4 linked regions of the Medicago truncatula genome follow. The protein of the gene in region 2 binds, or shares a complex with, the protein of the main gene of each other region. Links are inferred from orthologs where the notes say so. Each region holds a gene or a part of one and is shown on either strand. Other genes may lie near its edges. The genes, in order: VIN3-like protein 2, histone-lysine N-methyltransferase EZA1, VIN3-like protein 1 and polycomb group protein EMBRYONIC FLOWER 2.

The links.
Region 1: histone-lysine N-methyltransferase EZA1 (region 2) and VIN3-like protein 2 share a complex: the UniProt entries of both Arabidopsis thaliana proteins name them as parts of the plant homeodomain / polycomb repressive complex. The link is inferred for Medicago truncatula from reciprocal best matches to the Arabidopsis thaliana genes SWN and VEL1.
Region 3: histone-lysine N-methyltransferase EZA1 (region 2) and VIN3-like protein 1 share a complex: the UniProt entries of both Arabidopsis thaliana proteins name them as parts of the plant homeodomain / polycomb repressive complex. The link is inferred for Medicago truncatula from reciprocal best matches to the Arabidopsis thaliana genes SWN and VRN5.
Region 4: histone-lysine N-methyltransferase EZA1 (region 2) and polycomb group protein EMBRYONIC FLOWER 2 share a complex: the UniProt entries of both Arabidopsis thaliana proteins name them as parts of the plant homeodomain / polycomb repressive complex. The link is inferred for Medicago truncatula from reciprocal best matches to the Arabidopsis thaliana genes SWN and VRN2.

Annotation. Positions count from the first base shown.
Region 1 is NC_053045.1:61,341,069-61,348,497, forward strand, and holds the start of VIN3-like protein 2, read right to left. Parts: upstream 3,011-7,429; 5' UTR 2,725-3,010; exon of another isoform or gene 2,719-2,724; intron 2,621-2,718; 5' UTR 2,561-2,620; coding exon 2,536-2,560; intron 2,530-2,535; exon of another isoform or gene 2,434-2,529; intron 2,361-2,433; exon of another isoform or gene 1,268-2,360; coding exon of another isoform or gene 1,240-1,267; intron 832-1,239; coding exon 150-831; intron 1-149. UniProt on the Arabidopsis thaliana protein: Maybe involved in both the vernalization and photoperiod pathways by regulating gene expression. Binds preferentially to dimethylated histone H3 'Lys-9' (H3K9me2).
Region 2 is NC_053042.1:42,724,499-42,732,123, forward strand, and holds the start of histone-lysine N-methyltransferase EZA1, read left to right. Parts: upstream 1-4,609; 5' UTR 4,610-4,732; coding exon 4,733-4,765; intron 4,766-4,967; coding exon 4,968-5,069; intron 5,070-6,019; coding exon 6,020-6,291; intron 6,292-6,446; coding exon 6,447-6,608; intron 6,609-6,931; coding exon 6,932-7,016; intron 7,017-7,132; coding exon 7,133-7,288; intron 7,289-7,367; coding exon 7,368-7,415; intron 7,416-7,495; coding exon 7,496-7,567; intron 7,568-7,625. Other genes in the region: GRAS family protein RAM1, read right to left, coding at 1-42. UniProt on the Arabidopsis thaliana protein: Polycomb group (PcG) protein. Catalytic subunit of some PcG multiprotein complex, which methylates 'Lys-27' of histone H3, leading to transcriptional repression of the affected target genes, mainly abscisic acid (ABA) responsive elements.
Region 3 is NC_053047.1:39,580,225-39,588,230, reverse strand, and holds the start of VIN3-like protein 1, read left to right. Parts: upstream 1-5,004; 5' UTR 5,005-5,294; intron 5,295-8,006. UniProt on the Arabidopsis thaliana protein: Involved in both the vernalization and photoperiod pathways by regulating expression of the related floral repressors FLOWERING LOCUS C (FLC) and FLOWERING LOCUS M (FLM).
Region 4 is NC_053046.1:4,146,265-4,153,807, forward strand, and holds the start of polycomb group protein EMBRYONIC FLOWER 2, read right to left. Parts: upstream 3,010-7,543; 5' UTR 2,899-3,009; intron 2,764-2,898; 5' UTR 2,749-2,763; coding exon 2,623-2,748; intron 2,055-2,622; coding exon 1,999-2,054; intron 633-1,998; coding exon 568-632; intron 201-567; coding exon 148-200; intron 1-147. UniProt on the Arabidopsis thaliana protein: Polycomb group (PcG) protein. Plays a central role in vernalization by maintaining repressed the homeotic gene FLC, a floral repressor, after a cold treatment.

The sequences.
Region 1 (7,429 bases), on a different chromosome or scaffold from region 2:
AGCAACATATAAATAGATATAATCATCTTGAATCCTAATAATATCAATAATTTGCATTTACACAAAGTTTCCATTGTAGAAAACACTATAAGACCAAGACAAGACAGAAATATAGGGAAAAAGAATAAAAAGAAGAATATAAAATTTACCCGAGTAAATCATTTACTTTCCCACAAGAGACACAGTAGAAGCCTCCATCATGTTTGGGGCGTTTGCCATCTTTGCCAATTCCAGAACCATCATGTTTTAAAGCACACTCAAGGTGGCATGACAAGCCGCAAGAAACACCAGGAAATGGAGCTTCAGAGCTGCATATTAACCACAGGCTAGGGTCTTTGTTGTCGTCATATTGATGACAAATACAACATGAACACCTTTTGCAAAATGCATCTCCTTGATTTAGCGTAGCCTTGCATGCTGAGTTTTTGCAGTATGAGGTATTATGATTCACATCGCCACTGTTATTGACAAAAACATTGTTTTCAGGAACAGCTAACCGAGATGGATTCTCAATTTTTCTCTGCCTTTTAGCAGGTTTCTGACCATTTTCAGGAAAAGAATGTGGTTCAGGGTCGGTGGCAATATCATGGCCACTTGATTTCTTTTCGGAAACAATTTTCAGAAGATTTTCGATAATTTTCACCTTTGTCAGCCCAGTATACTTCCTTTCTTTTCCCATCTCAGCACACAATATTTGTAAAATCTCTTGACGGCTCCATGACTGTAGTATCTCAGATGCACCATCATGAGACGATTTAGATATTTCATATACAAGCTCTCTTTTTTCCTCCATACTCAATTTACTAAATTTAGAAGGATCAAGAGCAACTGCTAAGATCAAGGAAAAAGAAAACAAATATTAGCATATTATTATATAGATGAGAGCATTCCAATTTTAAAACTTCCAAGTGCTGAAGGAAACAAGACTATTTCAACAAAGACTTCTGCTACAATTTGTACTCATGCTAGACATGTCATCATCAAGAAATTATACGCAGAAATAATGGATTTTATAGAAGAAACTATAATGCATTTTTTAATGAACTAACATATTGATTGCATATAATATAACCAAGAAAACAAGAACAAGAAACATAACATATAAAACTGTAACTGGTTGAACTTGCATCACAAGGACATCCCAACCACTTGATGCAGAATGGAATCTAGGAATATTGGATAGCTCAGTGTAAACGCAATGGACTAATCAAGTCAGCCAATTAGGTAATTGGACTTAACTTCCTTTGACTTTTATAAGCACCTTCATGGACCTGCTTATTTAGTTGTTGGCACATCGCATATCAAATGATAAGCCTACTTCAATCAAGACTCCTTTTTTAATCAAAATGCATTAATAAAATATTGAACTGCCCGGCCCCTAAATGCAGTTCACACCAAAAGCTCGGGAATAAAAGGCTATATATAGCATAGATTTTAAGCCAAAAAAGGCAGAATCAGCAAAAGATAAATAAAATAAATTACAATTAAATCAAATAAAATAGTGAAACACCTCTCTCATTAAAGTTCATTCTTTTTTCTGAAGGAAAAAAAATCAAAGCTAATCAGAACCCAACATTCAGGAAGGACACGCATGGAAAACAAGGTTTTACACCGTTGTCGTGTTGTGATCCTTGTATTGCAGAAAATTGCGGTTAGATACAACTGATGCACCCAGAATTAATGCAATTGTGGACGCATAGACATAAAAAACCTTGACGTGTCATGCCTCGAAAAACCATGAGAAAGATGACATGGCAAATAAATCAATCCACAATTAAATCACGCGAGATATTAAAGCATAACACAGATAACGAATCCAACCCTTGTCGTGTAGCAGCCACATTTAACGCAATTTTGGACACGTAGATATAAAAAAAACCTTGACATGTCAAGCCTCAGAAAAACTCGAGAAGATGCCACAACAAATAAATTAAACAACAAAGAAAATCGGTTTCTTGTCATAAAAAATAAATTGGTAAAAAAGCATAATGTTAAATCACACGAAATAGTAAAGCATAACACGGATAACAAATCCAATCCTTGTCGTGTTGAGATCATTTTTATTGCGGAAAAGAGCAGTTAAATACATCAACCTCAAGTAACGCAATTGCGGACATGTAACGGAAAATTGCAGTTAAATACAAGTCATGCAAAATTACCGCAATATCATCGGAAGCGTTGACATGCAAAATCTTGATGATGAAGAGACCACAAAAAGTAAATCAATCCACATAGAAATCAGATATGTCACAAATCACAATGCTAAATCATGATATCATATGGACCACGAAACTACAGAAAAATGAGGTACATGACCGATGGCAATGCTAAAACATGATATGATAGAGATTAATCATCGTTAAATCACATGAGATTATAAAGCACAACAGAGATTATAACGAATCTAATCAATCATTGAGATAATTGAATCACCTCAGTTTGAATATAACGAAGAAAGTGAGATATAAGAATACATGAAAAATTGAAGAAAATTAGAGAGATAAAATAAGCAAGTGATGGAAGCGTGTGTGTTACCTTGGGAAGACGAATCGGTAGCCATAACTAAGAACGAGAATGAATGAATCACATCACATTATCAACAAAATTCATCGAACCTAAACAAAAGTTAAATAAATAAATCCAATCCACGTCATGAATCGCCGTATAAGGAAAGAAAATTAAGAGTGATTGATAGAGAAAGATTGAAATGACAATTACCTAAAAAAAAGATGCTTTCAATTGTTGAAGAAGAAGAAGAAGAAGAAAACGGAATCACTCAGTAACTGAAAAAAATGGTGACGCGCGCACACTCTCTCTCTCTCTCTCTCCTCTGTATGTGATAGAGGGAGATTCGAGGAGAAAGTTGTTGATGTACTTACTTTGCTTCTAGTCTAGAAAGAGAAAGCGTTTTAGATAGGTGGAAGGAGAGAGAGAGAGAGCGCTTTAATATCTCTCACAAATTTTTCGGCTCAATTTTTGTGACGCTTTCAACATCTACAATGTATCTAAAACTAAACGATGATATGAACATTTCTTCATTGAATAAATCATGATGCGGCAAAATAGATAGCAAATAAAAGGTTGAAATAGCTTAAATAAGATGTAAAAAAAATTATTTTGAAGGAAATGTGTTTGAGTTGCATAGATATTAATATTATATGACAATTTAGGAACCACTTGAGGAGGAAGGCTAATAATACTCTCTTTTGAGGCTCACTATTTTATTGAGTAAAATCAATATGTCCAATTACTTTATGTCGGTTCCATTTCCAATGTATATGCCCCACGTTAGTTTAAACCAATAAAATATAGCTATCATTTCACTTAAGATTGGTTATGGAATCAAATTTAGATTTTTCGCAAACTTGTGATAAGTGATTCTTTAGATAAATTGACAAATACAACTAAATTTACGACACAAGTGCAATGTGTTATGTTTAAACATGAGTAAACGTGTTTCAATTTAACAATATTGGTGTGCGTTTGATTTGTTAAAAAATGAAGGACAAGACATAATAACTTCAGCTGTTTAGTGTTTGATTTGCAAAACTGTTTCAGAGACAGGATAAACTGGAGGCAAGGAACATGACAAAAACTGAAATTTTTGTCCCTCACCAAACCACAGCACAACTTTTTTGTCCCACGTACAAGTTGTCTAAAACATCAAAATAGTATTTCGTCCCTCAAAAATCATACAAAACAAAAAATTATTCAATACCATAAAAATTTGTTCTGTGTTGTTATGCCTTATGTTGTGATGTTCTGTTTTGTACTGATATGTTCTATCCAGTACTTACTCTTTTGCAAACCAAACACACACCTTACAACTTAGGAGGACAAATTAATCTTTCACTTAATTTTGACTCTTTACTATAGATGAATTAACTTTTCTCTGTCTAAAAATATCAAAAATCAATTTTAGAAAAAAAAATAAACTTCTAGTCACTTGTCTTAATTTTAAACAACGATCTTGTCTTTTATATTTATTTATTGCATTTTTTTTATTTTAGTCTTTTGTATATGAATTTTCAACAAAGAGAACCACTGATTTAAACACCGAAAGCTCGTATCAAAATCAAATATTAAATCTTAAAATTCATATACAAAATTAATTCCCTCAAAAAATTCATATACAAAATTAGTTAAAAGGACAAAGATAATGTGAAAAAATGTGAAGAAGGAAATCTTTACGTAAACGTTTAGATCTAAAATAATGGCGTTATTGCCGATTTATTGTTGCGATGCTCACTGACTTTCAATTCAACATTTTTTATAGTCGAATATTTCGGTAAGAAATTAGGATAGTATAATATATTAAATTACTAAAATAGCCCTTTATTCTTTTCATTATCTACTGGCACATACACCATATCATATCAGGTCCATTCAATAACCTGTATCATAAATCCATACATCACAAAAATCTGAGTTAGTGTGGCTGTGTGTGTGTGGTAATGTCTTTTGCATGATAAGATTTCATTCAGGTGAATGAAGTCTTTTTCTCGTAATTAATATATATATATATATTATTTTTTAAAATAAGCTAAAATGGAATTTGTTAATATAGCAATTAATCTTAACCGGCACAAGGAATGTTAGGCTAGGAGTCTTACAGTAACAATAAACAAAGGATGATGGAAACCCCCAATGGAAAATCCATACACCCGTGAAAATAAATAAAAATCCAAAAACCTATAGGAAACACCTCCTAACAAAGGGCTATCTCCGAAATCAATAAATAGAAACACCAAAACAAAGCTAACATCACGATCAACAAAACAACATAAACAAAATCCTCAAGCATCGTCACAACTGCCACAAAAACAACTTCTACCACACCCACATTCCGCTGCTCGCACACAACCCCTGAACATCAACTTAAAAACCTACACCACAACCAACAACCTTTGAAAACAGCCGGGAAAAAAAACCCCAAACACCACCATGAGCTCTCCTAAGCACCTTCATCCAAAACACACCTCGTAAACAACCGCAAAAGCTAACCAAAAATCCTTGTACCATCACCAAAAACCACCACAAACATAACCACAAAAATCAACACCATTACCACCACCTTCACCAAAACTACCATTGACCACCACAAAAATCACCATTAACCCTCACCTAAAAGCAACACCAGCCACCACGCGCAGCACACCTAAAACCACCACAAGCATCACCACCAAAAACCACCACGAGCCCCCGCCACAAAAGACCCAAAATCAACACCACCAAGAAAACCATCATGAAGTACCACAAACCAATACAACCAAAGATCCATCGAAACCATATAAGTTCATAAGCGAATCTAGATATGATTCATCACCACCATCGTGACCGATCTGTCACCACCTATGTTGCGAGCAAACATAACCTCCACCACAACCAAGAGAGAAAACAAATCAAATAGTTTGAGACCCACGAAAACCAAACAACCACAGACAAGCATCCAACGACACACCACAAAACCCACCAACGTCTCAGCCAAACGAAACAAATAAAAAACATCAAAAATACAAACCAACCTTTACGACGATAGAGAGCAACCGCACGTCGGAAAGGTACGGTGGTGCGGAGGACAGTGACCCTCGTCGCACCACCATCCATTTGATCTACATGATGACGGGGGCGGATTTAAAATTTGTGTGAGGAAGAAAGGAGTACGGCGGTTTTACGTTTAGAAAAAATGGAATACAACGGCTATCTCTTATGTGTGTTTTGTAAAAAAGTACGACGGCTATTACTATAACTCCATTCATTTCTTTTCTTTTTTTATAAATCTCTTATCTTCTAAAATTTTGTTCGTATTCACACTTTTATCAAAATTTTGCAATAGAATATATATTTTTTTAACAAATTTTGCAATGTATATTATTACAAAAAAAAAAAAAAAACTTAATTTCATTTGTCCATTTATGATCGATTGGTGGCTAACGATTGGATAATAGAGTCTGTTAAAACTTTGTTGATATGGCCCTATGGCAGGGACACACGCATGTAAGATTGGAATCGACTGTGGGGACAACATGGTCAATTTAGATAGCTGCCCCACTAACTAATATTGCATGTAAGACATTGAGTTTTTTTTTATATCTTATAGTTTTGACAAAAACAATAAATTATGGTCTTTGCATATACGAATCGATGCTTTCCCATCTCATGCCACTCACTGCGTCAAAAAAATCTCATGCCACTCATTTCCTACACATTTGTTGGCTTAGCTTGTATTGCACACACGACATAGTATAATAATAAGATTTGTTGACTTAGCTTCTTAAAAAAAAAAAAAAATTATTAATAATTTACGCTTGCTTTCTTCAACTCTTAAAAAAGGTTAAGATATATATATAATCCAATAAAAAAATGTAAATATTTGATTATCTAACATATTTTATGCTATGCAGTTTTCTCCAACAACGATGATATTAATCTCTCTGTGTTTATTGTTAGGTCATGAGAGGAGGTTGGAACTTGAGAGACCATCCATATTAGACCCAGAACAATCATACAAATGAGTTGGACACCAAATATTTAACTAAAATCTTAGGGCAATAAGTTTATGAGTCACCACGTTAATAAATAAAGTGTTCAACTTTCATTTTTATAAGCAATATGCAGAACTTCCAACTCACGTTCTTTACACAACAATCTTCCCTCAAGTGTGAGTCCATCAATTCATTAAATGTTGTGTAGCGAGTGTAAGCCAGAAGTTACACATTGCTTAGAAAAGTGGAGGTTAAACATTTTATAAGTAGAAAGATCGGTAAATCCAATGTCTCAGGGTTTTGGAGTTAAAGTATAATGTACACCTTATTTGTTACTCTTAACTAAATGCGAATATTCTCATACTCATATCGTGTCTCAATATTATGCCTCAAACAAAAGCTTTTTAACCCACACATACTTGCATTTATACTTGTACCACTTGTTATTGCACCAACGTGACACGTCAACTGAACACCTTCCTAGGAAGACTTTCTACACCAAGAGGCGATCAAACCTTTGTTGAACCTGATACTATTGCTGGATCACGAGGAGAAGCGAGTTATGCACGTTAATTAGACCTATATAACAATCATTAAAGCGAGTTTGACATCACATCTTTACGTAACATCTTAAGGCATTAGGTTTATGAGTCGTCTCATTTATAAAATGTTTAACCTTCCCTTTTCTAAATATTGTGAGACTTCTAACTCACAATTACTGCATAATATTACATGAGTGTAGACAAATCATTTTCCTCTCTATATTTTTCGTATAATCATGTAGGTTGTGCAACGTCTTTTGTGTTTTGAAGTATAAAACAAAAAATATAGGTGTATTAGATCATTTGATCCCTTAAATAATTTAATGTTTTCATTTTGATCTCACAATTAATAAAACAGGCGTTTTAGTTCCTCAATTTTTTCTCCGTTTGCCAAATAAATCC
Region 2 (7,625 bases):
AAGAGTTGGAATTGATATTATAGCTTGATTTTCTTGCTCCATTGTTGTTATTGCAAAGAAACTGTGTTCTACGTGGAAGATTATATAGTAAAATTCTCTTGTATAACCGTCTTGGAATATATTGATATTGAAAGGTGTGAGAGAAAAAGAATGGTTCAGCATGTTTACGGTATGGAATCTTAACATTGGAGGAATCATGGGATGATATATGTTTCGATGTTTTTCTTAAAATGTAGCCGTAATTCCATAATTTGTTTGTCGTTGTTGAAACAAATGGGAGAGTCGAAACAAACAATGGTGTAGTATATGGAATATTTTACCATATATAGGTGTTCTTAAGAAGTTCTGTCCAACGTGGCTAATTATGGCGTTGAATGAAAATGTTTGATGGAATGTTACGGATAAGACATTGGAATTCCAATTGTTCTAGATGACTATGCGGTGTGTGTGTGTTTTTTTTTTTTTTTTTTTTTTTTTTTTTGTTACAAATAGTATGTTTCATATTTTTGACAAAAAAAATCGTATATTTCATTTGTTAGTTTCATATTTGAATTTGTTAAGGAATTATATAGGTGGTGGATTCGCTAATAGGATGAAGTTGGTGTATTTTTCGCATCACAATCGACTCACATTAGAATTAGTTAATGTAAAATTCACTAACAACTTATGCAAAATCGAATGATAGCCGAATAAGCTGCCGATTGATAGAAGAGATGACTATCAAATTTAAATAGGAATTGGATAATGTTTAATTAGTCTAAAAGACTCCAACATTGACTTGACTAAGTCAAAAGGTCATATTACAATTTTCCTATATATGTGGCATGATAAAGTAATGGTTATGCAAAGAGAAAAGATAAACTGACCCCAAGGTTGATTTTAATGACATAGCATGGTTAATTAGACATTCATTTCTTAAAGATAGGAATAATGTGTAGAACATAGGTAAATGACGATCGAGCAATCAACCATACACAATTATGCCCTCAACTCAGCCATATCAGCCAGATATTAGCTAGTTAAGTCCAGAACATGTATGAAGATTTATTCTCTTAATAATAAGGCGATGAAGGATGTGGATGCTGATATGGAAGTTTATAATTTAGTCGACAAGGCAGCTTTGGGTTGTAACTTAGCCTACAAGATACTCCCTCCGGTCTCAAATGTAGGGAAAAAAATAAAAAAAAATTGTGGTCTCAAATGTAAGAAAAAGTATAGTAAAAGCAACCTAATAAATGCTACTATTCCAATTTTACCCCATCTCCATGAGTTCAAGAGTCACTTTCATTAATTATTACTAAAACATGACAAGGCAAAATTGAAAAGTTGTACTTTTTTAACATGACTTCAATGTAATCAATTCATTTTCTTAATTGGTGTACTTTTTTTTTTCTTTTTCCCTACATTTGAGACCGGAGGGAGTAGTAACTTACACCCCCTATAATATTTGCGAACAACCGAAAAATACTTTGATTTTAAATGACATCGGATAACTTGTAAGGACAATTTTTTTAATGGCAATAGATGATATAATTAAGGACTCCGTTGCTACTGAGTGATATTGATTCAAGAACTAATTTTCTAGTAAGTGGTAAATTTAGCGAGTAGTTTAACATAATATTAGATGCCAGTTAATATAAGGATCAAGTTGTTTGACAAAATTCTATGTTAGAGGATCAATTTTGCATATTCGCAAATTTTAGAGGTGTGAATGCTCGACTCTTACAAGTTGTGGGGATGAATGGATAATTTACTAAACCATAAATTTGACTTAAAAATGCTTGCGATTAAAGTTGTGGACCTTTTTAGGAGACTAATAAAGTACTCAAAAGGTGCTGGAGTGTTGGGGAGACTAATAATTCAAGGCAAAAAAACCTTTGATACCACACTTTTATTAATCTAAATTTTAAGAAATTAGAAATCTATATCACCTCTTTGACAATTGCTTTTTTAACATTCAATAGTTCCTAAACACAAGTAAAATCCTAAAATATCTTAACGGTAGTTAATTGCCGTTGACTTATAACTATAAAACCGGCAGCAGTTACCTGCCATTGAATTTTTTAGTTATTTACTTATGTTTCTAAGAGACATTGAATGTCGGAACAAAAATTATCCACCAATTTAAGGAACCTGTATGAAATTTTACACTCACACTTTAATCCTTTCGGAAAAGAAAAACAAAAAAAAAACACCGACACTTTAACAAATATGGTGGAAATTGTATTGGGCAAGTTATCAACGTACCAAGCTAAGTTGGTTGCTAAAAAGTTTTGGTTGTGAGAAGTTTGTACTATTGAGAAATAAAGTTTCCACTCATTTGCGAGTGGGTAATTGAGCCTCTATCATTTTTGGTCCTCAAAATATGGATGATTGATCCAGTTACGTCTCATACTAATTATTGGTGTCATTTAATTTGGGAAAGGAAAGTTCTTTTTCACCATGGGAAAGTTGATCATATCCATTAAATTAAATAAGGAACATATTCCTATCATACTCTCTCAACCACTAGATTATTTTTTTATACTATCTTTCACACTCTCTCTTTCATGTTCCCACACACCCATACCACCACCACTAAATCACAAATTCAACAACCACTTTGACCACCATTGCACCACCACACACCACCACTGCACCACCACACACCACCATGGTTGCTGCCGGAAAGAACTCTCCTTTCCCAAATTAAATGGCACCATCATTTTAATCAAAACTCAAGGGTACCTGCAAATTTTCCTATAAAGAATCTAAATTAACCTAACGATGCAATATTATATTTTTTTAGAGGGATGCAATATTATTTTGTTCATAGTTTATTTTAGAGGGATGCATAATTATCTTGTTGTTCGAATTCCAACCGCCATCGCATAAACTATACCTGTTTGTGATCGTGTTTTTTTTATCCAATTAATCCGTTTCTCTCCGGGTAAAATGATTGTATTATATAATTTTGAATTATATTATTTTTCTTCTGTTTTTTTTTTTTATAAAAAAACAAATGGGTTCATGGAAGCATAAAAAAGAAAAGAAAAGAAAAAATGTTAAAAAAGTAAGGTTTAAATGCATTTTTGGTCTTTCTATTTAAAAAGAAAATGATGTTTTGGTCTTCCTATTTTAAAAATCGTACGCTAACAAGTTTTCCGGCAGCAACCATGGTGGTGTGTGGTGGTGCAGTGGTGGTCAAAGTGGTTGTTGAATTTGTGATTTAGTGGTGGTGGTATGGGTGTGTGGGGACATGAAAGAGAGAGTGTGAAAGATAATATAAAAAAAATAATATAGTGGTTGAGAGAGTATGATAGAAATATGTTTCTTATTTAATTTAATGGATATGATCAACTTTCCCATGGTAGAAAAGAACTCTTCTTTCCCAAATTAAATGGCATCTAGTTACTAACTTCTTTAGGTGGGGTTTAGCATGAGAAAGGGGAATTGTTTCCCACCATGGGAAAGTCAATTTGAACCATTAGATCTACAATCTTATCATACACTCTCAACACTATATTTTTGTCACTATCTTCCACTACCATCTCTCTCCTTCATCCCCACCAACCCACCACCAGCAACACCATGAGAACTATAGTTTTTACCAATCAGATTCAAAATTTTAACAATCAATATTCCATGAACTTACTTTTTGCAATTCAAAGTAATCAATCCTTGCAGGACACTATATAGGAACAAATTGTTTGATTTGAGGAAAATATATTCTCAACCTCTGGCTGACGGAACAGTTGGGTCTTGAATAATAGAAGGAACATATAAAAATTTACACAAGTTAGCATACAAATTCACACACTATTGTGATTAATTTCTTTTGGAAGAAAAAAATATGTATTCGTGCAGTCAGGTTAGGTTAGTTGCCTCAGCACTCAACACAAATACAAATGCAGAGGTTAGATTTGTGGTCTAATAATGGAAGGGAAGCTTAGATTGCTCCAAATCTGATATCCACTTCATATATAATAATAAACAATCAAAACCATGAGAAATGTTTTAGATTTGGATTAATACATTGCATCAAAGAAAATAAAATAAGGATGAAGGAGAGACAAGGGAAATTAAATAAATTAACAATAAAGAGTTGGGACGGTGGTTTTGATGAGTTGCTGGTTATGGGTTTGTGGAGGATGAATGAAAGAGATGGTAGTGGAAGATAGTGACAAAAATATAGTGTTGAGAGTGTATGACAAGATTGTAGATCTAATGGTTAAAAATGACTTTCCTATGGTGGAAAACAACTTCCTTTTCCCATGCTAAATGCCACCACTTCTTTAACATATTGCCCCGTCAAAATATGGTTCCATTTTCATAGATGTCTATCATTCCATAGAAAAAGAGTGGAAATAATATCATCAAACACGCTTACAAACGAGATCAAAATTTAGAAAACATTTAAAAAAAAATAGCATAGTTTGCAGTTAATTTATTTAAAGTTTAATAAATAAAAAAGCAGGGCAACTATGATTGGCAGTTGGCACGAGACAAGTCCCTTCAGTAGTAGTAGTACTACAGCATTTGGAAAAATGAGGGAAGCAAAGGAATGAGGGATAGCCAAGAAAGAAGGAATAATACTGTAAAGAGATGACCCCACTCAAAAAAGGTACATAATCCAAAGTGGAAGATGCGTCCACCCAATTTCATTTCTAAAACCGTGCGTCCACAGTTACTCTCTCTCAATCGTTGATCAACTCGCTCAACTCAGCATACAAGATCACAACAACGAGCATCCATGGTTTCCGATTCTCCTCACAATCTCCATCGAGTCTCTTTCATTTCTCTCTATTTATTCAATTCAACTTTCACTATTCCCTATCATAAACACCAAGTTTCATTTTAACCACAATTTCACCTAACCGCAATTTTATTTGTGATTGTCGTGTGAGCAAGGAAAATTCGGTGTCTATGTGATTGTTTATTTTATTTTATTATTATTATTTTTATGGCGGTAACTGTAATATTGACAGGAATTAGTTGAAGAGCCGCCAAATGATGATGTGGGAACCTTGTCCAACAAGATAAATCAGTTGAAAAAGCAAATCCAGGCCGAGAGAATTCAATCCATTAAGGTAAGTTTGTGATTTCGTTCTTGGAATGGGTTCAGCTTTCTGTAGTTTGTTTGTTTGTTTGTTTGCTGGCAGGATGTTTTTGTTTTATCATGGCTAATTGTGGAAACTGGCGTTAGCATACTGACATTTAGTGTATGTTTGGATTGATAGTGTGTTTGGCCAAATCAAAGTGTGACATCGTGATTATGACCAAAGTTACACTTTAGAGCTTCAACAAAATCAAGATGTCACAATTTTTTTGTCAAACTCGTCCTGATTCCAAACATTTAATTATTATTCCTTGCAAACTTCATTTTGTAGAAACACCAGTTCAGCCATATATGTGGATAACTGGAATTTAATAGCTAGAGTTAGGGTGTGTTTGTTTTGGTTTTTTTTTATTTTTTATTTTTTATAAAAGTCGCTTTTGTTATTTTAATAGTGTTTGTTACTTTGTTTATAATTTTAAAAAATTCATTTTTAACTCTAAGATGAAAAGCTGTTAGGGTTAACTTTCCCTAAAATCTATTTTTTTTTCAAACATGAACAAGCTAAAAATAATCTTTTTTTTTTTTTTTTTTAAAAAAAAAGTGAATTTTATGGGTAGTAAACAAACAGAAATAACTTCAGTTTTTTTTTTTTAAATCTCTAGATTTTTTATAACAGTCTTTTCTTTTTTAAAGCTGAAGGGTGCCACACAAAATCTAGAGCATGCTATAAGGGTGCCACACAAAATCTTTCGATTTCTGTTTGCTTCTACATTGAGCTGAACTGCTAGTTGTTCTGATCTGTTTTGGTTATATGGGTGTCACTTTCGGCAATGTTTTTTATTTAGCCGTGTTTATCGGTTGAACTTTATGTTATGACTGTTAAAGTAAACTTAAGTGTCAATTGAAAATTCAAGGTTGAGATAGCTTCTTTTTACACACCATGCTGGATGACTTGTGATTAATTGTAATTATTTTCTGTAGGAAAAACTTCAGAGGAACCAGAAGAAGCTGCAATGTCATACTTCAGGAATAATGTCAGCAGTATCAACCAGGGACTCTTCACAAACGGAGGAAAATACGACACGTTCAATTCTTTCCTCAAGAATGGACCGTCCTTTATGTAAATTCTATGGTTTTACCCAGGGTCCAGGAGACAGAAACCAGGGCAATCAAGACATGTCATCTGCTACAAGCATCAAGATTCCACGTATGGAAAGATTACCACCATATACATCTTGGATATTTTTGGACAGGTGTTTTGACTTACAAATATTTAATTTCCTATGTTGAGTTACTCACTGCTTTATCCATTTTATAAGAGAAAATGGGATTTAAACCTTATTGATCAATGAGTATGCAAGTTCAATAATATATTTTCTTCTATTTTAAAATCTTTCACACGCATCAGGAATCAGAGAATGGCTGACGATCAATCAGTCGTTGGAAGAAGACGGATCTATTATGATCAACGTGGAAGTGAGGCATTGATATGTAGTGACAGTGAGGAAGAATTAACAGAACCTGACGGAGAAAAACATGAATTTTGTGATGCTGAAGACCGTATTTTATGGTAAGTTAGTATGAAGATGTAGAAATGCTACATTTGCGAAGAAAGATTCAACGAAACAAGACCAATCGATCTGGGTTTCAATTATTGTGGTTAGCTATATGAATCATTGATTAACATGTTTAGTTAATGAGTCATATAGATGCTCTGTTGGCGCAAACACGGATTTTCTTGCCACGCCTTTGAGAAATAAGACTTGTATCACGAGTCATGACCACACAACTTTTAATACCAGATTTTAACTTATAAACCATGAATCCCAACTTCATTCAAACGTTCAGCATTTCTTCTTTCTAGAATTAATGTCTTGACTATTGAATTTCTAGTATGGCATTTGAGGAACATGGGTTAAATGAGGAGGTTTTGAATGTTGTTAGCAAGTATGTTGGGGGCACCAGTTTAGAAATCCAGGTAATCCAAAATAACTTGTGGGAATGAATATAAAAAACAATATATTGCACCATGGAAATTTCTTTATCAGAAACCATTTTCATTTCTTCGAGAAATTGCTTTCATAAAAAACACAGGAGAGGTACAAAAGCATCAGAGGAAGTAATATTGGTAGGTTGGACCAGCATCCTAAAAGCTCAGGAGAACATGAATTTCCTATGAGCATGTATCTAGAGAAAAACCTGAGTGATGCATTAGATTCTCTTGATAACCTTTTCTGTCGTCGGTGCCTGGTATGTACAAAATCATCATTTTTTTAACATTGTCATCATTGTCTTAGTGAATGCGTACCTTTCTGCTTTCCTGCGGCAGATTTTTGACTGTCGACTGCATGGCTGTTCTCAACCTTTGATATATCCCGTAAGGAACAATGCCCTAAGTTATTTTCAAAATTAATCTATGTTACTTCATCAATAAATTTAATTTGATGTTTATTTCAGAGTGAAAAAAAGACAGTTTGGTCTGAGCCTGTAGGTGATAGAAAACCATGTGGTGATCAGTGCTACCTTCAGGTATTCTTCTTTGTTTGAGATTGCAAGTATTTTTTATATTTGAGGTGGGCGAGAATTT
Region 3 (8,006 bases), on a different chromosome or scaffold from region 2:
GTAGTCAAAAAAGTTGTTGCAAATTTCTTTCCTAATTTTTTTGCTCTTTTTAAAGATCTCTTATCTTATATACATGGGTTCTTAAGGCTTTTAAACAATTTTTTGGAGTCAAAAAAGTTATTGTAATTTTTTTTTTGGTCAAGAAGTTATTGTAATTTTACTTCCTAACTTTGTTTTTTTATTTAGAAAATGATGGCATATCTTACTTATAAAAGTTCGTAAGTATCTTAGATAACTTTTTGGAGTAAAAAAATTTGTTGCAAATTTATTTCCTTATTTTTTGTTGTTTCTTTATTTTATTTTTAAAATGGTCGCATATCTTATTTATAAACTTCAGTATCTTAGACAATTTTTTGGAGCTAGACAATTTTTTGGAGCCAAAAAAGTTTTTGCAAATTTCTTTCCTAATTCTTTGCCTTTTTTAAAGATCTCTTATCTTATCTTATGTACATAGGTTCTTAAATATCTTAGACAACTTTTTGGAGTCAAAAAAAGTTGTTGCAAATTTCTTTCCTTATTTTTTGTTGTTTCTTTAATATTTTTGAAAATGGTCGCATATGTTATCTTATCTTATTTATAAAAGTTCTTAAATATCTTAGACAACTTTTTGAAGCCAAAAAAGTTTTTGCAAATTTCCTTACTAATTTTTTGTTCTTATTTATAAAAGTTCATAAGTCTCTTAGACGACTTTTTGGAGCCAAAAAAGTTGTTGTAAATTTCCCTCCTAATTTTTATTTTATTTTTTATTTTTTAAAAATGATCACGTATTTATAAAAGTTCTTTAAGTTTCTTAGACAACTTTTTGGAGCCAAAAAAATTGTTGCACATTTCGTTCCTTTTTTTTTTTTTTTTTTTGTTTCTCTATTTTTTTAGAAAATGATCGCATATCTTATCTTATTTATCTAACTCTGTGGTGGTGTCACATCTGTAGTTTGCTGATGATACGTTACTTATGGGTAGGGGTGGGAATAGGCCAGGCCAGGCCATGCTTTGATAGGCCTGAGCCTGGCCTACGAAATAAATCACAAGCCTGAGCCTGGCCTATGGCCTATCATAGGCCGTTTTTCTAGGCCTGGCCTGACCTATTTAAAAGCCTGGACTGGCCTGAAAGCCTACTTACAGACCTACTTCATATTAAGGCCATCAAATAGTTCATTTGGCCTACTAAATAGGTTAAACATGTCTTAAAGCCTACTTAAAAGCCTATTTCACTACAAGTAAATTTCAACTAGATAGAGAAAAAGATGTTTATATTTTTAATATATGCAATTATTTTAATATAAAAAAATATTTTTTAATAAATAAGTATTAATAGGCCGGCCTATTAGGCTTAACAGTCTTTTTTTGAAGCCTAAGCTTGGCCTATTTAACTAAACAGGCTTTCTAAAAAGTCTAAGCCTAGGCCTATCTACTAAACAGTCCAGGCCATGCCAGGCCAAAACAGGCCAGGCCGTAGGCCCCTGTAGGCCGGCCTGACCTATTCCCAACCCTACTTATGGGTACTAAGAGTTGGGCCAATGTTCGAGTGTTAAGGGCGGTGTTGAACTTATTTGCAGATATGTCCGGTGTAAAAGTGAATTTTCATAAGAGTCTACTGGTAGGAATTAATATTGGGAACTCGTGGTTGACTGAAACAGCATCTATTTTAAATTGTAAGGTGGGTAATATTCCATTTTTGTATCTTGGTCTCTCAATTGATGGTGATCCTCGAAGGTTAGCCTTTTGGGAACCTATGATGTCTACTATTAAATCTAGACTGTCAAAGTGGCAGAGTCGCTTTCTATCTTTTGGGGGCCGCTTGATTCTTCTTAAGTCTGTCCTGACCTCGCTTCCTGTCTACACTCTTTCTTTCTTCAAAGCTCCGACAGATATAATCTCTTCCATTGAAACTTTATTTAAGAATTTTTTTTAAAGAGGGAGTGAGGATAACAGGAAAATTTCCTGGATTGCTTGGAGCTCTATTTGTTTAGGTAAGGAGTATGAAGGGCTGGGGGTGAGGCAGTTTAGAGAGTTTAATTTAGCCTTGTTGGATAAATGGTGTTGGCAGTTGTTGGTGGATAGAGGTGGGTTTTGGTATAGGGTGTTGGTGGCGAGATATAGTGAGGTGGCTGGGAGGTTGGAGGTTGGGGGCCGGAGTGCTTCTTCTTGGTGGAGGGAGGTAGTGAAGATTAGGGATGGGATTGAGGGCACAAATGGTGGTTGGTTTGGCGAAAGGGTATCTAGGGTGTTAGGTGATGGAAACAATACGTTCTTTTGGTTTGATAACTGGTTAGGAGATGTCCCCTTGTGTAGAAGGTTTAGTCGATTGTTTGATTTAGCGACTAATAAATTTGTTACTGTGGCGAATATTTGTGATCGCGGATGGGGGGAAGGGGGAGAGGCATGGAGTTGGAGGAGGAGATTGTGGACGTGTGAGGAAGAAATGTTAGAGGAGTTTAGGGTACTACTTGATGGTGTATTTGTGCAGGCTAATATTCTTGACAGGTGGCAGTGGGATCCAAACATTCATGAAGGATATATTGTCAAAGGTGCTTATCAGATTCTGACAACTTCGGTATCTTCCACTGTTGACGTGTGGAGAGACCTCATTTGGCATAAGCAGGTTCCCCTAAAGGTGTCCATTGTTGCTTGACGTTTGCTAAAGGACATGCTCCCAACCAGGAACAATCTCCTTAGGCGCGGCATAGTGCAAGAGGCGGGGACTTCGTGTGCTACAGGGTGTGGGCTTGAGGAGACATCAGCTCACTTGTTTATTCATTGTGAAGTGTTCGGTCGTTGTGGCAGCAAATTAGGGCCTGGTTGGAGTGGCGGGAGTAGAACCGCTTACCATCACTGACCATTTTCTCCAATTTATTCATTATACAGGATCATCTAAGGCCCGCTGTGCTTTTCTTCAATTATTGTAGCTTCTTGGTGTTTGGCTAATATGGAGTGAACGCAACAACAAAGTATTTAAAAACGTTGAAACTCCTATATTACAGCTTCTAGATAAAGTAAAATTCCATTCATTATGGTGGGTAAAGGCTAATAATGCCAAGTTTGTTTATGGTGTGCAAAGATGGTGGTCGGACCCCTTGACTTGTTTGAGTATCGACTAACCTGTTTTTCTTGTATATAACTTGTATGACATATTGTTATTTGGGGTAGTCTGTTCGGTACACCTTGTACTGAGGAGCACTCACCGCCAGTGTTAATATATTCCATTTTTATGTCTTCAAAAAAATAAAAGTTCTTAAGTATCTTAGACAACTTTTTGGAGCAAAAAAAGTTGTTGCACATTTCCTTTCAATTTTTTTGTTGTTTCTCTATTTTTTTAGAAAATGATCACGTATTTTATTTATAAAAGTTATTAAGTCTCTTAGACAACTTTTTGGAGGCAAAACTATTGTTGAGTCTAAATTACTTTGGGGGTTTAATATTTGTCTTCTGGAAGCATTATCAATGATTTTTTTCATAACAAGGATTGGACCAAGGGTCAACCCTAATCCCTATCAATGATTTTTTCATAACAAGGATTGGATCAAAATCAACCCTAATCCTTTATCTTTTTACATGTTTAATTAATTATTGTATTTTTATTAGAAGGATTGAATGATTTTTTTAATAGGATTGAATGATTTTGTTCATAACAAGGATTGAATGATTTTTTTTTCATAGGATCAAAGGATTGAATGATTTTTTTTTATAACAAGGATTGGACCAAGGGTCAACCCTAATCTCTATCAATGATTTTTTCATAAACACCTTTGCATGTTTAATTAATTACTGTATTTTTATTAGAAAATAATAAGTGGGGTTTAGGGTGTTACATCAAATCCCCGTCTCAGTCCTCGTGAGCTTAATTCAGTTCATATGGACAACATATAATATATGCAAAGGTTCAAACTCCGACCACCGCAAAAAAAATCTCCGTCTCACATAAGCAACATTAAGACAATGAGAACTACAAACTTCTATTTCAAAGAGACTTCACCGTCTACGTAGAAGCTTATTTGTAACTACTATGAAATCACGACAACAGCACAACTGAACGTGAGTTTCGAGACTTAAACACCAAATCAAACATATGCTACATCCAATTTAAGTTGGACCAAACATACTCATTTATTTTTTTTTACTTATTTTGGGTCAAAACTGCCATTCAATCAAATCACCGCCTCACATGAACAACATAAAAACAAAAAGTAATATAAACTTCTATTTCAAAGAGACTTCACCGTCTCCATAAAACCTTCATTTTATAGTTACTAAGACCATCCACAATATATCACCTTAAACTGAGTGGTTAAATTAATTTCATATGTCCACATCACTTATTTTACGGTAATACTTAATAAACACCAATTTTCTCCAACCCAACACCTCAAAAGAAATTATTAAATAAGTCCTACAAATAATTTTATATCATTACATTTCAACAAAAATTATTTATTTTATTAAGATTTATTAAATGTGACCCATGAAAAATGAAGAAAGAGAGGGTGCTTCCATAGCCACCGTTCTCCATAGCCACCCATATATTATACTCCACAATGGGGGTGCCTATTTAATATGATGCTAAATAGATGAAGCACCCACCATTGTGGATGGTCTAACAAACGTGAGTTTAAAGATGCGCTATGTCTAGATTAACCTATATCACACATACTCATATTTTTTTTCTTTTGTTTTTTTGGTCAGAAACTAGCATCAATCAAATCACCTTCTCACATAAACAACATAAAAACAAAGAGAACTATATACTTCTGTTTATAAAAGACTTCATCGTCCACATAAAACCTTCGTTTTATAGCTACCAAGAAATCACAACAATAACACAACTAAACTCGTGTTTAAAACCTCAAAAATCCAAACCAAACAAAACATATGCTACATCTAATTTAAAACCTATTCTAAAAACATAACTAAACCTTAAAACAACTTAAATAATTTTCAAAGAATAGGGGCAATAATGTCCACAAAAGTAACATCAACAAAAACCTGAAAAACATGAAAAGAAGTAACATAAGCTGAAAACTTCACACAGCTGACTAACCAATACCATGCAGCCAAACAACAAGAGCCTAGGAAGAAGAAAAAAACTACCACAACTCCCTCACGCGCCATCTTAAGCGCGTGTCACTTCATTCACCTATAAACACTACCAATAAACACAACCCTTTTTCTCTTTCTCTCTCAAAATCACAGAAACAACAACATAATCTAACAACAACATAAACCACCAAATTTGTCTTGTGTGTTTGTGTTGTTTAAGATTTCAGATTCATAACCTTAAAATCCTCATTCTCCTTTAGGTAACTCTTTCATTCGTATCCCTTTATCCTTAATTTTCACGTTTTTAAGGTTTTATGTTTTTTTTTCTTTTTTTGTCTACCCTTTATAGATTTGTTCTGATTTTCCTCTTGCCCATGTTCTGATTTTTGTAAAAATTTGTGCTTTTTATTTGTTTAATAATTTCCCTTTATTTTGATTTTTTTTAAATATTAAAATTGATGTTTTTTTGACCTATTTTTGTTGATATGTGCAATGCTTATTGAATGAGTGGTTAAGTTGTGATGTGTGATCTTTTATTCTTGTTTTGTTTTTATGTTCAGTTTTTCATTCATGGCTCTAAATTGTGGTGTTATTATTATACGTTTTTTTTTCTTCATCTGTTTTGAGTAAATAGTTATTGTTATAATGATAATAATAGGTTTGTTTTATTTTTCATAACTGTAATTGACTATTTGAGTCTATTTTTCATCAGACATTGTGTGTTTAAATCAAATGTGCAAAATAATACAATTGTGTTGGAGACTGATTTATATTTTGTTTTTAATTGATTATTTTTAATTTAATATTAATTAATATATATCCATCAATCAATCAATTGATAATAAATCCTCAATTTAGAGCCCGTTTGTTGTCGGATTCGGGTGAGGTCACTTGGTTGTAAGTTTGTTTTACAACCTTGTGGTACTCGGTTCGAGACTGGCCCCAAGAGAATAACACTTTTAAGGGTATTTGATCGGTTGATTACTCTTTTAAGAGTCCTGATGGTTGCCCTTAAGTATATCAAATCTGTCATTTTAGTCTCTAAATATATGAAAATCTGCCGTAAGGGCTTAATTAAGGGATTATTCATCAATCAATTAACGCTATAGTTGCTAGTTTGCATTGTGATTATGCATATCTGTCTTTCTCTCTTATTGTACTTTATTGATGAGTTACATTGTGAGATTGGTGTGTAAGAATCGTGGTTGCTTCCTCCCGTGATTAATATTGAAATGCAAACAGAACTGAACAATCCATGATAAATTTTTGAAGTGTTTGATAATAGATTGTTCTTGAACTGAACAAAGCCATCTAGTGGTTATGCTGCTGTTTTGGTTAATGCTGTTTTTTCAATTTTCTTTCAGACTTCACACAATTTTATCTTTTTTTCAGACTTTCTTTCACAAATGATGTTTATGCATATCACCAACACACTCCTTTGTTCTTATTTTTGTTTTTTTCATTTGTGCCATGTTAATCGTGTCATGTTAATCTACTTAAAAAAAAATGAACATGATTTAAAACGCTGTCTGAAATTTGACTTCGGAAAAGATACATTTTATTTTTTTGGAGAGGATTCGGAAAAGATACTTAACGTGTGATTTGTTTGCGGAAGCTGTTATTTAATGTGTTTTACTTTCTTTTGCTTATTAAAACTAATTTTATGTATAGTTTCAATCCAATGAATTGTTATATATTGCTTCTTTTGCAAGGCTTTTTTACCCTTTATATCATTATTTCACTTTTTAGTCTTGTGGTTTGTTTCCTTTTAACTTTTACTTGAGTGTTTGATGATATTTGTTTCCTTTTTGTTATTCAAAATGTGAATTTTGTTTGTCTCATATTATGCAACGTATTATAATTATGATCCTAAAATGGAGTTATACGTTGATATGCCTTGTAAGTATATTTGGTTTGGGATCAAATCTGGTTTTTCGCTATCTTAGAGTCAATTATCGATTTTAATATATGGTTTTATTAAATGCTGAACCGATATAGTTACAAACTAGTATTGTTCTATTCTACTCTTATTGTGGCATCACCTTGGAAAGTCGTTGTTATTCATATTTGGGTTAAATATGTTTTTAAAATCTTAAATCACTATTTTTTGTCTCTATCGTCTTGCGGCGTCATTTAACTACTTATGTGTCCAACACAAGATCAAGTGGCCTCTCCAGGTGGCACCTAATCGTGTCGGTGGTGCCTTGTTAGCATATATGACTCCCTAAGATTTTATCTTGAGCCCGGAGATTTTTTTTGGCTCAACCTAAAGTGAATGTTAGAGACCAAAAATAGCGATTTGTTATTTTAAAGTGATGAAAAACCAATAAAAATATTTTACAGGAATCAAAGCCAAAAGTTGCTCATTTTATGGTGACTAAAATCAATAATTTTGGACTTTAGAGGAATGAAAGTCCACAAAGAAATCATGCTAAGTTAAAGTATACTGTTTTTCTTTTGTTATGCGGAAGTGTTGTACTTTGTGAACAGTGTGGCATATTATTAAGGAAAAAAATAACGATGAATTATGTGGCATAAAATTTATCCAAATTTTCAGTAATACATTAGGTGAGGCTATGATGATTGTCTACAAAACCAATCTGTGTTACTATTTTAATAGGATATGTTTTTTGGGTCTTTCTTGTACATATTCACAATATAAACATCTATTTATTTTGTCCCTTAAAACGCAGCAAAATAAATTTTGATCTATATGTGATGTTCTGTTTTTTTCATACGCAATTATGAAATATTAATGCATTAATTAATGTATATTTCTGTTATGCATAGAATATAATTATGTAACATATATGATATAAACTTCCCCAATTGTGTGGTTTAGAATTTGATATTGTTATTAATACAAAGAGATTGGAGTGATTGTTGAATTTAATCCTTGTTTAAACGACTTCTTCAACCATGATTCTGTTGTCCATGTTGTCTTGTTAGTTATCAAAACTGAAATTTATTTC
Region 4 (7,543 bases), on a different chromosome or scaffold from region 2:
TGAAATTCAATAGATTTCCATGAAAAACAGTTTTTGAAGTTTTCTCTTAGCTTCTAACAAAGAAAAAAGAGACAAGACAACAACCTCCCAAATTATCAAATTATGAATGAAAAAAGCAATTACTGAAGTTCAAATCACAGCATATACCTTAAAGCTCGCACACTGCATCAAGCAAAATGGACAAGAAAAGTCTTCAGTCACTACATTTGGAAAGAAACAGAAATGTATCAGTACGGTCAAAATTGTTTTTTTTTTTTTTTTAATAAGAAACCATCACAAAAAAAGAGAATAACATGACAGACCACCCAAAAAAAAAGCATTAAAAAATGCCAGCTCAAAAGAGTAACGTTTACAAAATCATATCTGTCCAAATTAAAGGCAGATGAAGTTCTGCACTTGAAAACTATCAGCCATAAGCATCTATGGAAGGAAGTCGGAATCGAAAATAAAAACATTACCAAATTGTTTACTAGTTTGATTGCTCTTAAAAATTGTACTTATTATAGGAAGGTAGTGGTAAGATGTAATGTTGAACATAGCTGGTGACAATATGATAATATGCTGTACCTTCAGTCTTTCGAAGCGCATTGTAACAGTCCCTATAGTTGAAAACCACAATTCCTGCTCGCAACCTTCAAAACAGAAAGCCATCAAACAATTGCCACCCAATAAGGCAAACAATAAATACAATCAACAAGAAACGCAAGGATAAAGCATAGCAAAACAATTTCTTTCTTAATTGTTATTCAGGCAAGAATGCAAAAATCATCAGCTGATGAAGAATAGACATCATGGTATGCTAAAGAATTACTTGGACAGTATTTGAGACTAGGGACAAAATGCAACTTTTAGTCTAGAGTTTCGTAATTAAAATAAAATAGCCAAATAATTTACTGTTTACTTCTTGTCCTACTGTTAACATCTTTCTTCAATGAGACATTTACTTCTTTTCGGCATCTAGACTCAAAACTTCACCTTACCAGTTACAACCCCTAATGAAGCATTGCATATTACATAAGATAGATATCTGAAAATGGGTAAATCTTTATTCGATATGCAAAGAGGCTAGTTTCTCTTTTCAACTAATAAATTGTGAACTATTTAATGAACAAATCTTAAGTACGGCGCCTAAGGTCCTATTACTGTTGTTCGCCAATAAATTACGGACACGTGTACTGTGATTTCCCTCTAACAAGGGGAACCTACACCTCCCGTGAATGGTGAATCGAAATTTCACATTTCGTGCCGGAATCGAAAAACAGAAACGGTGTCATTTTCTCGCAGAGTCCCAAATTACCACCACCCTCCCCCTCCCCCTCCCCCCCCCCCCCCCCAAATCAACTTCCCAGACTGCCACTCAGATCGAAGTCTTCACTTCAGCAAGTCGTCCTCTATCGTACGTTTGCTGGTCTATAGTCAAAGAAATGGTGGGGAACAGAGAGAGTTTTCACACACTTCCTAGTTCTGCAGCATCACATTTACTTTTTCTTTTCCATCAAGGGTTGGTATTCATTGCAAGTCAGCCAAGTCTAAATTAAAATTTTCATACAATGGTACAAGGAAACGAAGCAGTGATGATTCTGCAAATACAACTTGCGGGGGTTTTTTTTTTTTTTTAAAAGATAATACATGACACGTATACTTAGTTTATTGGCGAGAACATAAGGAACTGTAATTAAGTTTTGTCGGTATTTAAATAGTTTTCGTTTGTAGCATTTATTTCTCTTACTGTCGGATTCTCAATCCTCACAAATCAAATTCCTTTTTTTCTGTATCGATTCTCCTATTACCAAAAAAAGTAGATAGATGATTACTATTCATGTATCCCCAAATAATTAATTTCTATTAGTATAACTCTTAAAAATCATGTTGAATCAACAATTTAAGAGTAAGGAAATGGTATAAAGAGTAGTGTACTTCAACAAATTGAATGATGAAACTAAAAACTAGATGAAATAACTATAATACATGTATATAACAATTCAAAGGAATATTTACCTCCTTTTTTGCTTTGCTTTTATTTTATAGCGCAAACATCTCTTAAGAAAAGTAGGCTGCAAGAGAAATGAATTCCAAATGGTATCAATCAACATATCTTTTATATTAAAAAAAACATAAAATTTTGACATGTATGCTAATTTCAATTTTTAAGAGCAACTTTCAAATGTAGAATCGCATAAAAACCACTTCACATGTTTAATATCAACCAACACCGCTCGGCTCAGTGGAGTAACCTGCCCTAGACTCGGGGAAACGACCTAGTACTCCCAGGTTCGATTCCCGCAGAGTTCAAAAATGTGTTGGCCAGACTTTACTTGGCCCCCCGGGCAGGCAGATATTAATCTTACGTTTTCTGCATGGGGACACGCCCCAACGATATAAAAAAAAAAAAAAAAAAAAAAAAAGTTTAAATATCAAAAAAATCAGTCAACATCTCATCTCGGCATTAAGTTCAAATCATAGCACAATTTCTAATCCCTTAATCATAAAATTATAAATTACCAATATTTAAACAACCAAAACACAGAAAAAATAGCAAAAAAACAATAAATGAATATTATGGAGCTTAATTAAAAGTTGAAACAATCATATACTGATTAGGAAGTAATAGTAATATTATACATTGTGAAGAGAACGACGATAGAGAATATTGTAGAATTCAACAGGTTTGCAATAAATCAAAAGACTTTCATCAGCTGTAATTTCTTCTTCACCGGAATTATGCACCGGTGAATTTTGCCGGCACATGTTGAATTCTTCAACCTACAAACAAACACAAAATCAACTTCAATTAAACATACATTGTTACACGCAATTGAAGTAATGAGCTGAAACACAATTAGGTTAAACGAATATTGCAGCTGAAAACAAAGAAATTCATGAGAGAGGAAGACTTACAGAGAAGAGAGAAAATGCGAAGAAGTTCTTGGTCGATCTGGCGGAGAAGGGAAGAGCATGGCACCGTCAACGTAGTTCATTACACACTGTATTGGGCCCGATAATAATGGGCCCATCTTAATATAAGAGGAAAAGATGAGGATTGTTATTTGCACCCCTCTAATTTACTTCTAACGCACCTGTATAAGAAGGGGAAAAAAGCTCATGGGCTTTGAGCCCAAGCCCACCCGCAAAAAACATACCTATTTATAGGTATGTTAAGTTTTCCTTTCCTTTAACTCTCGATTTTTTTCACTAAACGGTTTTTTTATTTTATCGATGCTGGCTTCTTCTTCTTCTAGTTGTTGTATGCGAATTGCAAATTTATACTCTGTTAAATAACAAGTTTCAATTTAAATTTTGAAATATTTTAGGGGTTAAGTAAGTGTTATTTTCTTTTTTGAAGGAGGGTTAAATAAGTTTGTGATTTTAAAAAATATAAAGAATTTTGATTTTAGTTGCAAAAACTAAAAACTTTCTTTTTTGTTGTCCCTAATAGTTGGTTTATGTTCATGTCAGTTTTTGTCCAAGTTATATCCATGCATTATGTTTAATCTCTTCTCTTCTCATTGTTTAACTATACACTGCTAAATAGTAGTAACATATAGTAAAAGATTAATTTACAATATATAAAACTCTGCTATAATTAATTAAAAATATATCAGTTTAAAATATGCATCATGCATGTGCTTGCATATACTTGAGCAACACATTCACTCAAATGTTTTGCATAGATCCCATTGAGTTATTTTCATCGTACAAGAGAGTTAATGATTTTATTATGTAAGTTTCTATTTTAGTTTTTGTCTTACACTTTCGAAAAATGTGGCATGTTTCATATGAATTCATCTTTTGGTTGAGCAAGATTCTAAAACTCTTGCAGCATATAGAAAATCCAAACTATGCAAGTGTATATTATTATTCTTTAAAATTCCAATCCCTCTGAAAAAGTATAAGTGATTATCGTTAGAGCATTGTAGTTTCAGATTCTATACATAGTATACTTTTCATATTATTGATGATTTAACTAATGTGATGTTTGTTTGGGCCGATATGTTATGCAGTGATTGAAGCAGGACAAGTTTAATTTGATTAATTGATAATGGGAAGATATAAATCCATAAAGAAGTACAGTTTCTCTGAGTCAAACTCTAAGTCACATGAGGATCATTCCATTAAGAATATGAAGCAAAATTCCTATAGTGGTAAGAGTTGTAAAGTGATTTCAAAGTTGTTAATCCCTGAAGACTTGGTGTTTGATATCCTTAGTTTTCTCCCTGTTAAATGTCTGCTTAACTCTGCAAGGTATGTTTGCAAATCTTGGGCTACTACTATTCGCAGCTCCCTGTTTGCCGAAGCGTGCCTACATCGTGCACATTCAAAACCTGGTCTATATGTTGAAAATTGCAAGCATCAAAATAATTATTATTTCTTGGATATTAAAGATGATGTGAATAGTCTATTTGAATTTGAAAGGTCTAACATGGGAACACCTCAAAAAATGGGAAACATTGTCGATACTTGTGATGGAATATTGCTACTTTGTCATGGTCCTAGATTTTCATCGTGAACCCCATCCTCAAGTGTTGGCTCAAAATTCCTTCTTTACCGATTTCACTGAAACGATCGGAACTTAAGTGTCAAGTAACTATAGCACGTGTTCCTCACTCTATTGAATTCAAGCTGTTTTTTTGTAGATATCCTAGTGGTTTCGGGTGCTTATTGGTATGTATTCTATGTGCTTAGAATTGGAGTAGATAGCTCATGGAAAGAGATAGCTTGAAAAGAAGCTCCTCGTGAATGGTTTTTTTGTTGGAAACTACTTTATAAATTACTCGCTCCATTCCTTTTCTTTTGATGTTTTAGAACTTTAACTATATTCCAAAACTTTTGATGTTTTAGTGAATTTGTTATTGTTTTCTTAAGTTTACCCTTGTTGGAAAACACAATAAACTATTAAAGTAGTTGTGACCTTTGGTTTATCACATGTGAATTTAATGATAAATAAGGACATTTAAGTAAAAAATACACAAATATTTATATACTTTAATTACTCCTTAAAACTTGTGTCAAGAACTAAAACATCAAAAGAAAAGGAATGGAGTATAATGGAGACAATTATCTTTACTGGATAACTATAGAGGGAATAACAATGATGGATGTTGAGAAGGAAAATATTGTAGGACAGTATTTACTTCCACTTCCCCCTGTGTTGATGGGTCTTAATTCAGATGCAATATTTTTAAGTTTAATTGCATTTTTGGCCCCCTATCTTTTCAAAAGTTGCGATTTTGGACCCCTAACTAATTAAAATACAAAACAGCCCCCTATGTATTGGATCTTTGACAGTTTTGGCCCCCAAGGCCACTTTTGACTTAGTCTTCGCTGACGTGGCACACACATCCCTTAAGTGAGGTGTCACATGTCGACCATTGTGGGTGCCACGTCAGCGAAGACTAAGTCAAAAGTGGCCTTGGGGGCCAAAACTGACAAAGATCCAATACATATGAGGTTGTTTTGTATTTTAACTAGTTAGGGGACCAAAATCACAACTTTTGGAAAGATAGGGGGCCAAAAGTGCAATTAAGCCATATTTTTAGGGATGGGAAATCACCTTTCTTGCATTGTGAATAATGATGCATTTTGTAGAACATTTCAAATCTATGTTTTGGATTTTGAGTTAGGAAAATGGTCTCTTTATCATGAGATGGGACCTTTTGATTTTCCGACTGCTTGCGGCCATGAGATTCATATTCTGTGTGTGGTGTTTTGTTTCTGGATCAACCATCAAATTATCCTTCGAGTATCTCTATTGAAAAGAAGAAATACATCTGTAACAAGTAGGGAAACCATGCATTTTAGTTACAATGTCAAGATCAAACGACTAACAAAGATTGACAACATTGTTGTGGGTGATATTAAGGTATGGCTTCACACTAACAGTCTCGTCTCATTGCCAAGTACTCCACTATAGTTGTGGTTGGTTATAGCCAGCCAAACATAAGTATCAAACTTGGAGTTGGAAACACATGATGCGTTTTTCCTTAGTTAGTCTAATTATTATTATTGTTTAGCTTTGCTTATTTTGTTGAATGATGACTTACTTAGTCTTCGACAAATCTTGTACTCTCTTTTGCTTTTCTTATCAACGAAAGAGAAACATATAATTTATAAGGTGCCAGATTGTTATTTGCATCAGGTTATTTTGGTAGTCTTGATCTGAGTTTGGAATTTCTTTTTGATATTTTTATTTATTTATCTGAAGTACACAAGTGTTATATTCACCATCACTCTTGCTTGTAAGTTGCAATGGTAGACATCTTTAAAATTTAGAATAAGGAACTATCTATGAACGTGATTTTACTAACAGCTTTCCAACTTATCACCCAAACCCAATTGCATCCAAATATCCTTTCTTAACTCCTTTACCTTAATCTTATCCCACATACTGTCAAAAATGCTATTAAGAAAGTTGTGAATCACACATGCATGTCACTGAAGCACAGGTCAAAAATTACTTAATGCAGATGTTGTTCTATTAACAATCTTATCCAAGAGCTATTCTACTTAATGTCTGAATTCATGTAGTATAGTATCCAATAAAACATGAAGGAATTCTCTAGATTATTTGTTTGCATCTCTTATTTTTTTGAATTATTTTTTCAACAAAAAAAAAATGGAAAATGAAACAGAGATTCGAGCACATTTGGTTTCAGCCAGAATCATTAATTTCATGAGAAGTAGAGAATACATTATTGGAAGTCATATTCTGATATATATACATGACATACATCAAGTCATCCATATATGTGTTTGGATGAGTGGTGAATTTAACAACATCACGATTGCACCATGAGTTTGTTAAAGATACGATGTATAGAAGTATAGTTTTTGCTAGAATCACAATGAGTGCTGTGATTATGTTAGTCTCATGTGTAGAGATTCAAACAATCCACATGGTTTTAGCATTATATATTTGATCAAACACAATTTTGAAGAACCCAATCAAGTTTTGCTTAAGTATCTTGATTCAAGAAATTACAACATACTCAAGGACGACACACTCAATAATACGAGAAAACACAAAGGCAACAAAAGTTAAAATAATTAGAAGAAAGTTACACATAAAAGACACTCTAGTGTACTAAAGTTCACTTTTTACACAAGATGTTGTTTCAAGTACTCACGTGGCAACAACTTAATTACCTTGCACCAAGACTCCTAAAATCACGACTTATAGAAAGAAAAAAAAAAATTAAAATCATGATTTGAATATGTCCTTGTTTTTCTCCTTAATTATAAGTAATGTGGTTCAGTTGGCCACAAAAGCTAAGTTTGTGGGAAAACTCGTGGATTCAATCCACACAAAACACACATATAATATATTTTGATGTGAATAATTATGTGCATTTTTCCCTCAAAAAAAAAAATTATGTGCATTTTCGGTAACAATGAAAATATATAAAAAAAATGTTTTGATTATTTCTAGAAATGCATCATTATCTTTAACTAGCATTACATCTTCTCTCCATCACAAGAATTCACTTCAAAAGTTCCCATCAAGGTAAAATGGACACACATTTTTAAAATAAAATCACAATATTTT